3 linked regions of the Drosophila melanogaster genome follow. Changing the gene in region 2 together with the main gene of any one other region gives a genetic interaction. Each region holds a gene or a part of one and is shown on either strand. Other genes may lie near its edges. The genes, in order: axed, Nmnat and trp.

What was found.
Region 1: of Nmnat (region 2) and axed, changing one suppresses a phenotype caused by changing the other (phenotypic suppression), as found in Drosophila melanogaster (one study listed by BioGRID).
Region 3: of Nmnat (region 2) and trp, changing one suppresses a phenotype caused by changing the other (phenotypic suppression), as found in Drosophila melanogaster (one study listed by BioGRID).

What each region holds. Positions count from the first base shown.
Region 1 is NT_037436.4:6,607,278-6,612,458, forward strand, and holds the start of axed (axundead), read left to right. Parts: upstream 1-2,047; 5' UTR 2,048-2,192; coding exon 2,193-2,231; intron 2,232-2,299; exon of another isoform or gene 2,300-2,632; intron 2,633-5,181. Other genes in the region: Rexo5 (RNA exonuclease 5), read left to right, coding at 1-1,141.
Region 2 is NT_033777.3:24,943,280-24,947,930, reverse strand, and holds Nmnat (nicotinamide mononucleotide adenylyltransferase), read right to left. Parts: upstream 2,695-4,651; 5' UTR 2,674-2,694; coding exon 2,478-2,673; intron 2,406-2,477; coding exon 1,999-2,405; intron 1,948-1,998; coding exon 1,846-1,947; intron 1,788-1,845; coding exon 1,636-1,787; intron 1,456-1,635; coding exon of another isoform or gene 1,419-1,455; exon of another isoform or gene 1,098-1,418; intron 1,048-1,097; coding exon 777-1,047; intron 669-776; coding exon 627-668; 3' UTR 531-626; downstream 1-530. Other genes in the region: mah (mahogany), read right to left, coding at 1-299; ssh (slingshot), read left to right, coding at 4,282-4,341, 4,410-4,651. UniProt on the Drosophila melanogaster protein: Catalyzes the formation of NAD(+) from nicotinamide mononucleotide (NMN) and ATP. Essential for viability.
Region 3 is NT_033777.3:29,914,274-29,922,207, forward strand, and holds trp (transient receptor potential), read right to left. Parts: upstream 6,017-7,934; 5' UTR 5,791-6,016; coding exon 5,642-5,790; intron 5,584-5,641; coding exon 5,346-5,583; intron 5,285-5,345; coding exon 5,142-5,284; intron 4,755-5,141; coding exon 4,553-4,754; coding exon of another isoform or gene 4,544-4,552; exon of another isoform or gene 4,533-4,543; intron 4,459-4,532; coding exon 4,282-4,458; intron 4,115-4,281; coding exon 3,880-4,114; intron 3,825-3,879; coding exon 3,526-3,824; intron 3,469-3,525; coding exon 3,101-3,468; intron 3,040-3,100; coding exon 2,682-3,039; intron 2,367-2,681; coding exon 2,147-2,366; intron 1,936-2,146; coding exon 1,770-1,935; intron 1,715-1,769; coding exon 1,554-1,714; intron 1,495-1,553; coding exon 1,340-1,494; intron 1,280-1,339; coding exon 323-1,279; 3' UTR 248-322; downstream 1-247. UniProt on the Drosophila melanogaster protein: A light-sensitive calcium channel that is required for inositide-mediated Ca(2+) entry in the retina during phospholipase C (PLC)-mediated phototransduction.

The sequences.
Region 1 (5,181 bases), on a different chromosome or scaffold from region 2:
GCATGAGGATGACAAGTTCCCACGCACTAAGCTCCTGCTGTCAGCGCTGCAAATGGTCGACGAGGGCTATCCTATTCCATTGCAGGGCGAGCTACACACTCGTTTCCAAAACTTTAAGTTTACCAAGGATCTGTATGCACCGGTAACCAATCGCAGTCCTATGTTCGGCGTTGATTGTGAAATGTGTCACACGGAGGCGGGTTGTAACGAGCTAACCCGAATCTCTATTGTCAACGAAAATTACGAGACCGTTTATGAAACGCTAGTGTTGCCAAATAACCGGATCACCGACTATCTAACCCAATATTCGGGCATAACCGCAGAAATTATGGAGCAAGTGACCAAGAGGCTGGATGTTGTGCAAAAGGAAGTGTCCGAACTGCTGCCTCCAGATGCCATTCTGGTGGGGCAATCTCTAAATTCTGACTTGAACGCCATGAAAATGATGCACCCGTATGTAATTGACACCAGCGTGTGCTTTAACACATCTGGGGTGCGACGACGCAAGACCAAGCTGAAGGATCTGGCCAAAACCTTTTTACAGGAAATTATCCAGGAGAACATCGATGGTCACGATTCCATTGAGGATTCGCGAGCCACGCTGAAGCTCGTCAAGAAGAAGCTGGCAAACAGCATCGAGTTCGGAGACCAGATCCTCACGCAGCACAAGCAATTACAGGAGTTGGCGAACGCATCCAGCGGTGATACCATATCCAACAATCTGTTTGCACATGTGGCAAAGCGGGATAAGCGCACGGCCATTGTCACGGTCGGCGAGCTGCAGCCCCGTCTAAAGGAAGTGATCGAAAAGGCGGGAGAGGCAGCGCCCAAGGATCAAAGTACGTCGGTGCATGTCCACGAGGTATCTACGGCCAAGGAAGCCATTCGGAAGGTCAATGAAGTTGCACTGGAAAATGCCCTGACAATTGCCAACCTCCGCGTGCCAGAGCAGGACTTTATATTGGACAGTGCACAGCGGAGTGTTGCCAAACTGGACAAGACCATTGATCGCCTGTGGAAGTCAGTTGCGCACAACGGACTCTTCCTCGTCATCATGGGCGGATCCACAGAGTGCTCGAAGGGTGTAGCCAAAATAGCCATCAAGCGACTAAACGGATCGAATCAGACTATGGAAAGTTAGGGAGCTTTTAAGAACCTTACTTATGCTAACCGCCTCCATGGATACCCGCTCCCACTAAGGTCCTGAGTGTTGAAATCCAGCAGATAAATCAAATTTACCGTATCACACTGAAGACATGACCAACAGTTGCATTACCATACACCTGGGAAATGTCCTGCATGCATGAGTGCATCGATGAAAAATTGTAAAATTAAAAACAAATTCGATCAATAACGAATAATAAAATGTACATTTAATTTTTTTCACAAAATTCCATTGGCTTCTGCATAGTTGTATTAAATTAAATGAGCGGTAAAAATTATTATGGATTATTGTATAAAGAAAAAACTATACAAAAAACTAATTATTATTGATTCCATTTTAAAATTTTCTGAAAGGGTCAACATAATACATGGTTTATTGAACCGTAAAAACTGTTCGTGTCCGCAGGCAATTAGAAATAATTCCAGTATCCGTCCGATACATTTTCCGGATGGAGCATTCCAAACTGGCTGCTTGAATTTGACCCAGTTTCGTCTGGTTTGCATTGCCCGATATATGTGGCTGGTGGTGCTCGCTGGCCAGGCGGCTGTGTTGATAAGAGCCACAAATTTCCTACCTCCCTCAATGTGGTGCTCCGTTGTCTAGGGCCCGGCCCGAAAGCCCGAACTGGGCCTCCTCCCTAGAAGCGCCCACGCACTCTCGCTCTCCCTGGCTTTTTCATTTCCCTCTCTGTCGCTTTGGAAAGGGAAAGTCCCCGCAGCGGAGTATCTGTGTCTTATCACACGCTCGAAAATGTTGCGTCTTTTTTGGCTGAGTACTCATACGACCTGTAGGTCGTGCTCAAAGTTTCTATGCGCATGTCCCGCCGCAAGAATTTTCTGAGAATTTTCCCCAATTCCGGTGGAATGTTGCCAGACGGCTGGTGTTTTGCCATCAACTGGCAGGTATTTTCAAATATTATAACATATTTAAGTTCGACTTATGCCTTTCCGGGCCGAACACAATTGAAACTGAAGATTTAAAAGCCCTGGTCAGGATCACTAACTCATATGGTGCCCATATTTTGGACATGGACCAGTATGGTGGCAACGCCAGCCCGGGAAATTTGGTATGTTTTCCTGCTGTCTCGTTTGTTTTTCATATTTTTGGCTTGGCGCTCTTCGTACAAATCTTGTTGTATATACGCTTTTTGGCTCTCGAGCGGAGACGTCGTCGTCGTTGTTGGCTGCCTTTCCCAATTCCGTTTGGCACGAGGCGCGCAAAACTCTCGGATCGGATCGCATCGGATCGAAACGGAAATATATACGCGAGTATCGGCGGGGCTATATGGCCAAAATATCTGTATATATGTATCTGATTATTGGCATAAACAAATCGGCGTAAACAGAATTTGCATTAAGTTTGAAGATTTTGACATCGAGGCGGAAGTTCATAGTTATCTCAGCTGAAAATTGGCGAATAAATTTCGAAAATCGAGAGTTGGCCCATCCGACAAATTCATAAACTGGGGTAAGTCTCTGTGTATAATTAATCAGAATGCAAAGGAATGAAATGCTGTATACAAACAGAGGCGAGCAATTGGCCAACATAAATTGTGTATCCATAAAATACACAGACACTGGCGAATGAAAGCCTGTTCAAAGGAAAGTTTTCCGACTCTCTGCGTCTCTGTGTGTGTGTGGGTGTAATTATGCGCGTGTATGGGTGTATGGAAAAGTCGTTCACTGTGTCAGTGTTTCATTGTATCATCAGCTGGGCATCCATCGCGCATACGCCGCATTGTCAATTGTTACGAGCACTCACGCCCATTCCCCAGCTTCGCCCTTGGCACCAACTGGTTGCCCCAGCGCCAACCGACCCCAATCCCCGCCAGAAATCCCAGAATCGCGCTCTTGATATTGCTCTATTGGCCCATGCCAAACCCCATGAATTTAGCAAAGGTCTCCTCTTTCTTTTGCCAGCTTTTGCAAATTTGTTTCAACTGTTTGTTCCACTTTCATTCAGTGGCCACTCACCCTTTTGTTTTCCCCGCCGAACATGGAACATGTTGCGTAGGGTTTTTCCTTCACCTTCCACACCCCCAGCGATTTTCCTGCGCGTCGAGGGTGAGTTTTTCGCTTTTTTTCCGCCCTTCCCGTTTTCGTGTTTTGTTTGCAATTCGGGAGGCAGCACTTTTGTTAGCTCCAAAGTCCCCTAAAATTTGATTTCTATGAAAGCCGAAGGGAAATTGAATTTTACCCAATTTTTGTAATTATATGGTTTTGTTATTTTTGGTAATCTTCGATACCATAAAGCAGAATATTTGTGAAGTACTAGAGATAACTAATATAGGTTTTTATTCATACTCTTATAATATCGATGGAAAATTTTATACATAATTTTTTCATTTTGCTTGTTACAACTAGTTTCTGTTTAGGCAATTATGTAAATAATATTGCCACCTTTTCTCCAATCAATTCCTATACTTTGAAATTGGCATTTTTGGCGCGTTGCCAAAAGACCAGTGAGCAATTCGGTCGTCATTTGGCTGGATCTTCGCAGGGGATGGATGAGTAATGCAATTTTCCAAGCCAAGAACAAACAACAAATTCCATTTGTTGTATTTGCTCCGCGGCATTCGGTTTGTCCGCAATCAAATCAAATGATGTCATTTTCCCGTTGTGAAAAGCCATCCTGTCCGAAGGTGTCCATAGTGCCATCGATACGTAGTATATGTGTAGTAATATGGTGCCTGGTCGCGGAACAAACGCTCCATGAATGGATGAGTCAGTGGAAGTTACGGGATGGAGGTGTCTACCCATGGCAAATTGAATTACGCATCCGAAGTACTGCAGTTAGGCGGCTTCGGGTGAGAAGTTCAAAATCCAAATCGTATTTGTTACAGATAAGAATGTTTGCTTATTAATAAAGTATGGTAGTGTGACTATCAGAATGATGGGCTTCACGCCAATAATAAGATTGCCACTGCGAAAAGGAGTTCGTTAACCGTATAGTGTGATAAATGGTAATGATAAAACCAAGTAAAGATGATCATATAATTTCATGTTTTTGCATTTTTGTTGCATTAACAGCGAGCGCGCATATAATTTTAAGTAATTTTAGCTTCAACTGTTTCCAAAGTTTCATAATCTCGTAGTACTTAGACTGCTGCCCATGGGCTAATTTTAATAAACCACCTCATTAGGATGGGTATAAATAGAGGAGCCATTGCACTGGCTGCGAACTCTTCCTGCTCCGCCGAAGAATGTGGCAAGTGGTTTATTTTTGAACTATGCGGCAATAGCAGGTGGAATTTGAAGTTGGCAGTGTTCGGCGGATCAGGAAGCGAATTGTACTGGGATTAGATGGGTTGGGCTCCCAGTTCTTTCCCATCGAATTCTTTGGCTTGTTTTTTAGCAGTTTCATTTGTTCGATTGTTTGCTTTGAACCGCGCACATTGCGTGATGTTTACCGGCAGCCAACAAAGTGAGTAATTATGTTAAATTTCGACTAATTAAACATTTTCGCCGCCCGCCTGTTTGGCGTAAATATCGATATTGCTCCACATTGTTGATGCTGCTAATTAAATTTTCCCTTATAAATGCAAATATTTGATTCGGCCCGGCGATCGTAAACGGGTTTTCGAGCGATCCAATCGCTATGTTGATCTTGGGGAAATGCGTGCACAGTGGACCCTGTTGTCACCCAACCGCCCAGCCACCCAATGTCAAGGTCGTTCGTGAGGCGAACTTCGAGTGCTAACTGTTAACAGTTTTTGCTGTTGTTCTGGCCGGTTTCATATGTTTTTTCCCATCTGGAGCTTCCGCTTTACATGGGGACTCATTAGCAGTCTTCGCTGCTCCAGTAGCCCCACATGAAATACATATGTAAACACTAGTGGCATATGCCTCAGCGAGGGCAGATCGAAGAGTATCAGTCTTTCATATCTGTGGTTACCTTAGGCAGATATACCTTAATAGTTAATTATTAACAGTCACATACGACTCAAGCTGGAACTATGAACTGTAAAATTAGAGTTCTGAGACAAAGGTTTTTACTGTTCAAATAATTGCATTAAT
Region 2 (4,651 bases):
AACAGGATGCCAAAGTATCCAAGTTTCACCAGCAATGCCGGCAGCGTGACAAATGGGAAGATGCCAAACAAATCCACCACGTACAGGATGGCGATGAAAAGCGAAAGGTTCTCCGGTTCGTCCTCGTAGGCGCGGAAATGGGGAAGGGCGCTGAACCGCGATCTTCGCAGGAAGGGCAACTGGTCGTGCTGATGCGAGGGCGTTAGCTGGACAGGAGGCCGACGCTTTGGAAGCGCAAAGGACGGAGCGCGCGAAGGGCGTGGCGCGGGTTTAGCATTCTGGCGACGGAAGAAGAACATTCGCGATGTGGACTCTTCCAAGGGAAGCAAGCAACTGCAGTCCCTCTAAGCTTAAACTAATGGTGGCCACTCTCGCCTGCAACTGGCATATTACCATCAACAAGTTCTGACATCAGACACCAAAGCGAAGCCCTGCAACGACTGCAATGTCAATGCACGTCGCCTGAAGTTCAATGCCTTGTCCCTCCACTCCGTGAAGTGACCCACAAAAGCATGGGCAGCCGTCAACTTGGTAACGAACGTGTTTATTTTGCATATTTATATAATATCAACAAATAGCTTCCAGCGCCCCTGTCTTAATCCGCGTGAGATTCGTCTTCCAGTTTCCTAAAGTTGCACTTGGGAAATCTTCTGCTTCTTTGCTTGGCTCTGAAAGAGGGGAATTGATTAGAAGGATCTAAACATAAGTTTGAAAGCAAAACTCTGGATTCCATCTATGTATGAAATGCAATGGATACAGCGGTTAAGGATACCCACCTCCTCTTTCTCATCTGCCTGCATGGTGATGACCTGCACCGCTTGTCCAGGACCGGATCGCAGCACCTTGGATCCACGTAAAGGCACCTCCCCGCAGCAGAAAACCCGCGACGTAGGCGTATGCTGCAGTTGCGGGCTTGGAGTGTCCGACTCGTCCATGTCCTGCTCCAGCTGGTCGCCTATAGAGTAGCTGTTCGCGTTCTTGTTGTTGTCCGTATAGGCGTGGTTAAAGAGCAAATGGTTGGGACGCACCGCATCCGTTATATACTTACTACATTCCATGGGTTAGGCGGGCATGGTCAGTACAATAGCAACAAAGTTAAGGTTATTGTTTAATGGGACTACATTTTGGCAACAATTCGGTGTAAGTAGATGATACGCACACTGACCACCGCAAAACTATGGCTAATTTAACAAGGGTATTTACAAGGGCTAAGATTGGGCAAAAATAAACATGCATTAAAGGAATCACTGCTAAATAGGAACTTGAACTCGGATCTGCTCTGCTCACTCACGCTCCATGAAGAGGCGCCACGGCTCAAACAGCTTATGGTGCTGGTGGGGCAAGTGGTGCGATTTGCGGTGCTGGTGGGTTGGAAAGCGTGTGGGCGACGAGGGCTTCTTTTTCACGTGCAAAGCGCGTCAAGAGTCGCATTCGGTCGGAGCCGGTGCATCCCGCCTGCAGTTTAAGACATAAAAGGAAACAATACAAAGACTGCTGGTGGTGCACGTTAAGTGTGTTCTCTGCTGTGTGAAATGGATTAAGGTGGCGCCTCATTCAGTGTACGTATCGTTTGAAAGATGGGTAATTGTAAGTGAACATGCAGGATTAAGGGGAGGTAACAGGAAGACCACCTACGATTTAAAGTTAAACAATCGTTGGCGCTTGATGTACTCCAGCACCAGATCGTCTAGAAGGTACTTGACCGACTGGCCGCGTCCTAAGAGCCGCCGAATCAACGTGGAGCTCACCTCATTAGGCACCCAGTTGGTGATTAGCGTAATGTTGCTCTGAAATGTGAATGGAAATGAATAAGAAATAATGTTGTCGAGGTACTGTCTCTCTAACCTGATACTTGGTCAATATGTCGGAGTCAAAGATGAATTTTCCTGGGTTTGAGCCGGCCCGGGTGATAACTACCAAACCATGGTTAGCCACAATGTCCTCAATCTGGGAACAATCATATAAAAAAAGGTACTATTCAAATATATCAAGACTTACATCGGCCTCTGCCCATAGGCCTGGAACAGCAAAGGACTCCAGCAGATCGGCACCGCACAGTAGCTTCAGATGTACAGGATCCCGACTGTCGTGCAACCCACGAGGCAGCCATCCGGGTAGATGTGTGTTCTCCCCGTCATCTCCGCCTCCCCCGCCGGAATTTATGTGGTTATTGATATAGTTCTGGTGGTGCTGGAGCACCGCCTGCGTGCGCATCCACTGATTCTGGTGCACCTCCCAATCGGACAACCGAATCCAATTGGAGCTCTGGGTGGCCAGCTTGACCATGGCACATCTGTCCAAGGCGGAGGCCAGACCCTTTTTGCCATATGAGTCGTGCGTGGGCGAGATGATGCCACCTACCACTCTGTGGGTTCCCTGCATTTCGAAGTGGTCCTTGGCTATCTCTGTTGACAAAAACATGCCGCGTAATTTTATCGATTATGTACCGCAGAATTTCACAATCTAGTTTAACTCACCGAACATCCGAAGGTGCATGGGTGTGGGTGGACTGAAGCATCCGCAGGCTATGAAGGCGATCCGCGGCAGCAGGCTTTTTGTTTCCTCGATGAATGCTGACATTTTCTTCGATTTTGAGCGTCTTTTAAAAGATCCAAACCGCCGGAAGCATTCGCTTGTTATGTTGTTCTTGGGCCAGCTGATTTTCACAATCATCTGTTCGGCTTGTTGTTATTTTCCAACACTAAACAGCTGTGCAGTGGCTACCACCTCTGACTACCTTTGACTTGTTATTCGATAAATGATAACTTAATGTAACTTAATTTTTTGATTTTTAATCATCAAAAAGGCAAGAGTACATAAAAATGTATTAAAGCCTGTTTTACTGATATATCAAGAAGTATACAAACATCACTGCGTTTCTCATTAATAAGTACTTTTTTCGGTGTACCACACGAACATTGCTTTCGCTTGCGATAGTTAGCCAGCCCTGCCAGAACGATTGCCTGACGATACTAGTGTTATCGATTAGAAATGGCGTCCTCACTGTCTTTCTTTTAAGAAAAATTCGTGTAGTCTATTTACCATTTAGCAGCGTTGTGTGTGTCCGTTAATTGTAAGGACACGCTGTTTCTTAGAGAGAACCGCCTGGCTAGAGTGTCCGGAAAGCGGAAACCAAGACGATCGCAGGACGAGGTCGCGGAGCCGACTGCAAAAACAACGGCCAGCAGGCAGCGATATGAAAATGCATTTGTAGCCTTAGCCCACAACACTTGCACACACACCACACACTCTCGCGCACACTCACACACAGGGAAAAGGAGGTGGAGCAGAAGGAGCCGAAGCAGGAGAGGATTGCAAGGGACACCGCTGCAGCATCGCCATCATCTGCGCCAGGTGGAACACGAGGGTCAAGAGGCGTCGGCGGGGGAGGAGGAGCAGGAGGTGGAGGAGCGGCTGCGGCGACGACGACGACGTCCACGACCACGGCAACAACAAATGGCGCTGGTGACGGTGCAGCGCTCTCCCAGTGTGGCGGGCTCCTGCTCGAATTCGGTGAGAGGAGACTTGATGGTTTTCGCGTGTGCGTATGCGTGTGTGCTTTGTTTTGGTCACCCCCACTCTGCCAGGAGAGCCAATTACGGGCAGGCTCTTTAGTGCGTGTTCCGCTTTTGGCCATGATCCTTTGTGTGCTCGGATGTGCTTTTCATGCCCAATGTTTATCATCCGCCAGCTTGTTGCTTACGCTTTTTGGATTTCGACGTTCAACGTTCGCGTGTGGGCGGTATGAGGCAGCGTCATCATCGTCATCGGCTGTGCTGCGCTGCGCTGCTTTTGGTGTAACCCAAGCAAATCCGCAGACGTCGCGACGTCTATATTTTTCAACAGACTTTTGCATTGCCTTATTTGTCGTTTTTGTCGCTTTCCGCTTACCGCTTGTTTTTGTTTTCTTCGCCGCCCCACCGCCCAAAAATAGTTCGCGAGACCTTGACGTCCGCCTGCACAGAGGGAAAAATTAATATCGGGGGTTGATCAATTTAATTTTACAAAACGTTTTAATTCAGATATGCTCAATATGTCAAATCGGTATTTTTGAACACATAAATTAACATTTTATTATTTCTAAGAAATCAGAAAATATAAAAAAAAAAAAAATACTTCACTAAACCGGAATCTTTTTCGAACTTGTGACCCTTTTCTCAAAATCAGACGGTATTCAGTTGAACAATCAGATTTCTTGGAACTGCAGATACAGCTTTGCTTCTTTTCCGCCCTTGAAGTGTAGACTATAATCAGGAGTTTATCTTACCCCTTTGCAAAATAATGAGCATGCAAGTTTGTTCTTTGCCAGACGACATCCTTATATTTAGCCTAACCCCACGGGTGAGGTGCAGCAGGATAAGGTATTCTTAAACACCGAGTAAACAACTTTCCTTTCTCTATAACATCAGGATGGCGAGTCCGAGGACGACGAGGGCAATAGCAAAGGAAACGATCGCAGCGAGTGCTTCTTTGCCGGCAAGGGAACCGCCCTGGTACTGGCTCTTAAGGATATCCCGCCCCTGACGCAAAGCGAGCGTCGCCTGAGCACCGACTCCACCCGCTCCAGTAACAGTACGCAAAGCAACAACTCGGACATCCAGCTCCACCTGCAATCAATGTTTTACCTGTTGCAGCGCGAGGACACGCTAAA
Region 3 (7,934 bases), 5.0 Mb from region 2:
AGGACGAAACACTGGCTTGGCGAATATGTTTTTCGGTCTGATGTTATCCTCGGAACGGTCACGGTTCTTCTGATTCCTCTGGTCGAAGTTCACGTTCTTTTATAGGCCAGAAAAGCAGGCGGATGGATGGCAGACAAACAAATTGCCATCGGAACAACGGGGCGGATGATGAATGTTGCTGCGATGCAAATGAGATGTTGCTGGCAACAGGTGGCCTTTAGCAACAAGTTGCAGAAACGTGGTACTTGAGATTCTTTTTTTTTATTATTCACACAAACAAAGGACTTAACTATTTAATTGCTATGAAAGTGGATTCCGCGGCTTAGAGCCAGCCGGAGATCATGCGTCCTGTGACCGTGGATTTGCCTCGTTCTCCGCCAGCTGCGGCACTGCTCTGACCCACCTTGATCGCCGGCTTCAGAGGAGCTGCTGCTGGCTTCTTGTCCTTGTCATCGGCAGGCTTCTTGTCCTTATCATCGCTCGGCTTCTTGTCCTTGTCGTCACCCGGCTTCTTGTCCTTATCGTCTCCCGGCTTCTTGTCCTTGTCATCGGCTGGCTTCTTATCATTATTGTCAGCAGGTTTCTTGTCTTTGTCGTCGCCAGGTTTCTTGTCCTTATCGTCGCCGGGTTTCTTATCCTTGTCCTTGGCATCGTCTCCTGGCTTGGAGTCTCCTGCAGCCTTTTTTGGCTCCTCCGGACCGCTCTTCTTTTCGTCCGGCTTGGAGGCCCCATTGGTTGCCTTAGTTGCTTCTGGTGCTCCAGCTGCTCCAGGTTTCAGTTTGGAATCCGGCTTGGCATCCGAAGGAGCGGAGGGAGCTGCGCTCTTGGCTGCTCCATTTGTGGCTGCCGGCTTGCTAGCTTCGGTCTTGGAAGACTCCTCCTTTTTGGCAGCGGCCTCGGGCTTGGCGGATTCTCCAGGCTTCGGCGCAGCAGGCTTGGTGTCTCCAGGTTTGGTTGGTGGTGCCGGAGCGTCCTTCTTTTGTGACTCACCGGGCTTGCTGATAGTGCCAGCTGCTTGGGGCTTTGGAGCTCCCGCACCCGGAGTTGGCTTCTGATCCCCGGGCTTGGGACCACCTGCTGACGGCTTGGAGTCCTTGGGAGGCTGCTGCTTATCCTTATCATCACCTGCTTTCTTGTCATCCGTTGGCTTGCCCATCGTGCCGGGCTTGCCATCGGCTCCGGATTTTTCATCCACATTCTTAACCGATGCTCTTAGAGCAGCTGCAGCCAACATAGAAGCTCCTCCTCCAGTTCCACCACTAGTTATGGACTTTTTAGACTGCAAGTGAGATTATATATTAGCCAGGGAATACATATACATATATTGATTGGAACGTACCCCAGAGGCATCCAGTGGCTTCTTTTCGCCTTCGCCATTTGGAGCACCCTCGTCATCGGCCAAGGAAACCTCGTCGGCAGCCATCTTCTTCCGCATGAACTTGACATAAGCCACTCTTGTGGCACGCGTCACATCACCCAAGTTGGGATTGAATTCTGGAGGAGATCAAGGGTATGGAAATATACATACATTGGGCACATCTTTATTAATTTACCAATCAACTGGGTCTGGTTCATCTGAAGACCCTCATTCGCCTGCTCGATGATCTTCCTCCTCAAGCTTCGCTGGCTATGACGTTGCATGGAGGAGCGCTTGGAGCCAATGGGATCGGAGGCGAAAGTATTCTTCCTCGCAATGGCGTTCCAATCCTTGTCTCTGTTGAGAATAATAACCATTATTCAAAGCGTCTTACAGATTTAAGTGGACCTACCCCTTCTGGGTCTTCTTTCTGCCGATGACCTTGGCCAGCGATGAGAATATATCTCGTCCGCTCTCAGATTCGCTCATTTCCTGCTTCAGATTCTCGACGAAGCCGATTTGGAAGTCCTTAAGGATGCGACGTTCCATCACCTTGCCCTTGGTGGTTCGAGCAACTCCTTCAAAAGTAAGTTTAGTGAATAAAATCCATTAAAATCCATTCTAGCTTTGTAGTCTTCTAGCACAACATATTTCAAATTAATATTCAAGATGGGGTGAACTTTATTAGGTATTCAAAAGCTAATTGTAAATAATTATTCATATATACTGCTACTTCTATCTTAAGACACGTGTAAGTTGCCAATTTGGATGTGGGTAGGCTTCCCTTACCCTGCGACTTCTTCTCAATGTCGGGTACATCCCAGTTATTGTTGGTGAAAATCTCCAGCAACTCGAACCGCAAGGAGCTGATGTCCTGGCGCACCTCAATGATATCATCCTCGGTAATGCCGTAATCGTCCCGCCGCCTCTGCTCCGCCGTAATGTACCTCCTGACCAGCAGCTTCATCACTTTGTCATGCAGCGTCTGTGCCCGTTCCATGGACTTTCGCTGGGAGTTGGAACAGGGAGCATTAGAGGGTGGAAGGACACAGAAAGGATGTATTAGACGTCAATTTGACGCACAGATAGCTCTGCATGGGCTTGATTGAAAATGATTTCGCTTAAGATTTGTATTGATTGTGAGCCGCCTCTCACTGTGAGGTGATTCAACTTGAAAAAATCGAACTTTCGAAATGTTACTTACATTTAAAAGTAATATGATAAGAAATATCATTTAAAAGTAGAGTACACTGAATTTAATATATATGTGTGGATTTGTATAATACTTAAACTGAAATATTGAATTTCTCTGAGTGTAACTTACCATGAAGCTCTTGGTTCGTGACGGTCGCTTTCGGCCCAGGGTCTTCCTCAACATCTTCATGTTGGGACAGAGGTTGAAGGGCGGTGGAATGGTGCCGCCATCCTCGAAGTAGCTCATCCACAGCTGGGATCGGGCGAACTTCCACTCAGTGTCGGCTCGCTCCGAGATGATTTGGTAGGAGTTGGACATCATGGCAATCAGCATGTTGAGAAGCACAATGATGTTGATAACCGAATAGGAGCCGAACATTAGCAGTGCCCAGAAGCGGGTGAAGCTCTTGATTCCCGCCAGATCGAAGGAGACCAGGTCCACCAGGCCAAAAGAGGCCCAAAAGAGCGATTGTGATGTTTCGAATAAGCTAAAGTAAATTGAAATGGGATGCCAATATGATAAAGTACATAGAAATGAATGTAATATACTTGGAAAATCTTCGCCAGATGGTACAAGCCTTCTCCTGGTCATCAAAGTCAGCCACATCGGGATGCAGGTGATAGCACTTGTTCTTCTCCAGCTCAGCGTAGTACCATAGCAACTGGTTGAGACCACATCCGAAGGCAAACAACACCAGTGTGTAGATGAAGAAGAACTTGATGATGTCGATTATCATGCGACCCAGTGAAACTTGCAAGGGTCCCAGGTGGGGATTAATGGAGAAGATGTGGACGAGCTTTAGATAGGAGAAGACCATTCCGGCAGCAAAGGCGCCCTCTGATAGAAGCATTGGATCAAACGGATGCCAGTGTTCCCTTGGGAAGTAAGGATCTATGCCCCGGAACCAGAGATCACGCTGAAATCAATTCGTTTCAGTAACTCCAATTTATTCATTAGATTCATATGGACTCACATGGACGATTACCCAAGCGGTGGCCCTACAAAGAATCCACGTCACATAGAACATGTTCGATATGTAGTCCACTATGTTCCAAAGATCCATGATGTACTCAAACAAGCCGTCCGAATATAAAGATTTCAGTTCCTCAAATATTAGAGCCATTATGTAGGTAATGATTGCCAGTTCAATGGGACCCGGTAGTGAACCTCTCTCGTGTTTGCGCCAATCCTCCAGCATGGTCAGCATCCAGGGAAATGCGAGGAGTTCAAAGGTGATTTGCACCACCCTCAGGGAGGCAGCACCCAGGAGCACTGTGAATGGGCGCATATTTAGATGGATGAAGTGTTAAGCACCCACTTTACCCACTCAGGAAGAACATGTAGGAGCAGGAGTGCGTGATGAACTTGACAAAGGGCTTGCGCATGAACTTGGCACCCTCGGAATCCGGGGCCAGGATGTACTTCAAGCTGTAGATGGGGAAGCTGCATCCCAGCTTCACGACATCCATCAGCTGCTGGGAGGCCTGCTTGCGCCGGAAGCCCGGCAGTCCGTCGTACCAAATGGCGGCCAACAATTGTTGGACATTTGGATGTGCCACAAACTAGAAGGGGGAGTAATGTTTATAAATTCAAGCAGGGTACTAAGATCCGTTTCTATATATAAAGCTATTAAATCCCAGTTGGTCTGTGGTGGATTAGGCATGGGTATCTAGCCACAAGCTTGTAACCTTCACAGTTCCTTAATGTGCACGGATTAGTCCGAACCCACCGTTTTTTGCTTATAGCGAATGGCCAGCTTCAGTCGTTCCAGGGTTTGCCGCTGGCCAAGGCACCAGATGTCGTGGGACGGCTCGTGGTTGAAGTTGAGCATCACCTCGAGTTCCATGGATGTGCGTGCGTGATCCAGGAGCGAGGTCCCGAAGTCCTGCACCATCTGACGCATCTCCTGTTGGGCAAACACAAACAAAGGCTCGCATTCGCATTCGCATAGACTCTAGTGGCACACTGGCCACCGCTTACATTGCACACTACTACCGTACCGTGTATTCGGCACGAAACTCCGATTCCATCGCCTGCAGGCGCTTGAGTTCCCAGGACAATTGGAAGGCGGTCAGTACAGGGTCCCGGGAGCTGAGCGCTATCAGCGAGCTGGCGGACAGGGCGCGGTATGCGTTGATCCTCGACTGCGAGTGGCGCAGGGAGTCCGTCATCTGGGAGGTCACACACTCATCGCAGCCGCACCTAGAAACAATTGAGATTAAGCGATGATATACAAAGTGTACGGAACCCAAGAGTTCTATAATAATAAATACATTTAAATCAATCTGAAAGGAGTACAAAGGACCTTCTCTCCTAGCAAGGACATTTATGACGCTGTTAAAGGCTTGAGTCCATTGACCCAATTTAAGAACATTCAAGGACCTGCTCTTCCCACACACAACATTACACCCTGTATTAATATTTCACCCTAATTTGCCCGCAATTATCTAAAATTAGAGGCACCCAGCGATGTGCTACATAAGTGTGTTGCCAATTGGACAAACAATGGAACGTGCCGCTCGAAGGACGAGGAAGCTCACTACATAGCCATATCACCGAGCAACTGCATCCCTACACCACCCCACTCACTTGACGTCGTGCGGCATGGGCAGCGTGGCCCCGCGATCCAGGAGGATTTTGAGTATCTCGTAGTTATTTCGGTGGGCGGCCAGGATAAGGGGCGTGATGTCCACGGTGAAGGTGGACTTGGAGCGGTCCACCGCCTCCCAGCTCTGCCAAAGGAGGGGAAAAGAGTAAGAGTTGTGGCATATTCTGCGGCAGGATGTGACCTACGTATGGCTGGCCCTCCTTGTGGTTGGTCTCCTCCCACTGCAGCAGCTCCTCCACCGCCTCCACATACTCCTCCGAGATGGCGTGCAACAGGGCGTCGCCCACCTCGATGTTATGCTCCAGCAGGATCACCATCAGGTCGAAGTTCTCGTTCTCGATGGCCGAAATGAGGGCGGAGCGGTTCATGGGATCCGTGCAGTTAATGTTGAACTTGTCCGTGCCCTGGTACTCCTCGAGGATCCTTCAAGGACGAAATCATATTAGCCGAGTTACTCGAAGCCATAGGGAGGAAGCCTCACTTCTTGACACCTGGCAAGTCACCCCGCTCGCAGGACAATATGAAATTCTTCTCCACATCGCTGAGGATGTACTCCTCGGCCATCATCAGGTCGTAATCCAGGCGAGACCCCAACGCCTTCTCGGCATCGGATTCCGTATTGCTGCCCATATCTGCACTGATTTACTGGTCTATGCGAACGCGATTATCAGGATCGGATCACTCGGTCACTTCACATCTCACAAACACTATGGGCATTTATCCCTGCTCCTCGGGGAGCCTTGGCGTAATCCTTTCGCGCACTGTATCCTTTAGTGTTCCATCGTGGCGATGTTCCGCCTCCAATTAGCCGCGTTGCACTGCTGAAAAGTGGCAGCCACGGGTCGCTATATTCCACTAATTACATTAGTGCCCAATGTGGCTAAAACTCGGTCAATGTGTGGGCGAACCCCGAGTCAATGGGCCCATTTGACCGCACTTCGGTAATTGTGGGGCTGCATTTGGAGGCAGCAACCGATTTTAGCGATTTCAGTTCAGGAATCTTTCGTCCATTTGTGGTTGCATTGCACGTGATGAGCGACTTTCGATTTTCGAAGCCCCAGCAACGGAATCGCACCACTTTTATGCCTGAAAATCCAAATCAATACTGCCCAGTGGGTTTATATGTAAGTGAAAAACAAAACGTGCTAAATGGAACAATATTATCTGCTTATATTTCGATGAAATGATGCATACAGTTGAGATATGAAATTAAATAGGTGTCTAATATTTTGTACCCAGCAATATAGATCAATGCCCAAAAAAAAAATACGCACTTTGCATACTTTTTGACACCTATTCAAGCCGAAATTCAAAGCTACTTAATATTCAAAAAGTAGCATGAGGGTGTTAATTTGCGAGTAAATAGGGATTCATGGACTTGGGTTCATATCCTAGAACTATTCACCGAGAAAAGCCCTTAAAAATAGGAGAAAATGCAAGCTTTTAAGCTTTTGGCTAACCAACAGAGCCGGAAAACACACCACACCTGCAGTTTACAGTCGAGTATCTACCGAATTGAAATGATTTCGAATGCCTTTTGGGCACTGGGTCAGTGATTCTGACTTTGTGATTGATGAATATTGATTAATCTGCATGGGAAGTGGGAGGGGGAGGTGGGGTGGTGTACATCTAAGACCCAACTCGTCCTTGGCAGCCGAGCGTCTTGAGCCTTGAATGTTGAATGTTGCTTACTTCAGGGCGCTCGCAGGGCTTTTGTGTGTCAATGCACTTGGAACTAAATGCCAGCTCCTGGCTAAAGGCGGAGAAAAGGAAAAGGAACAAGCCCACTTTCACGGAGCAGCCCTTTGAGATGAATGTGTGTGTTCGAAAGGTGGGGTTCAATGGAGCTCCGGGCGGAATGGCATCGTACGTGTTCAAGTCGTACGGGGTTTTTAGCGGGGCCAATGCACTCCACACTCCACTCGCATGGCTTCCAAGAGAAGAGGAAGGAAGTGATGGTGGCCCAAGGAATTTCAAAATTAAAGTCACAGCTGTCGAGGGGAACTCATTAAGTGCGAATTAATTAGAGGCCATAGCTGAAAATACCTGGATGGCATTCTCGTAATTATATAAAGGTACTCCTCATTACACAAATGTGGCTAAATGCACATTCTTCTTATAAGTTCCCATTAACTAAATGCTATGTTGGGTTTATACATGATTTTCTGCAGTGTACAACTGGGTTGCACTCAATGATTCATTGGCCTCCAACAAAACTCCTGCCTTATTTAGCTTTTAAGGACCCTTGTGAGTTATGTGCTCAGTTCTCCACGAGAAAAGCGAAAGAGCTCATTTTCCCTGGGTTTGCGTAGCAGGTTGCACTTTCACTGTCTCCCCACCGGAAACCGTCAAGATTGCGGGATAAAATTCATTTTATGGCCATCTGTATTAAAATTATATCTCTAAGCCCTCAACATGATCGTAAAAATCTATAGTATCAATGCTGATTTGCTTTATGGCACCGATAAGATACTTATGTGTTTAAACAAATTGAATGTACCCACGTAGAAAATGATTTTATGAATTGCATCCGATGAGTAGTATTTAACATTAAATTTATTGTATTTTTAACTGATTCGCAAATCATTGAACACTGATAAGTTTACGTTTTTTATATTGCTGTACAAGCCTCTGCGTTGTTTATTTTTTGTCTTTTTGCTCCTATGTAATCTGGATGACATTAATTTACTGCCCTCCAGCTCAACATATGGGTAGTTTGACACTTGGTCAAGATAAGACAAGGGACTTCTTCTGTATATAAAGGCGCTTCGACA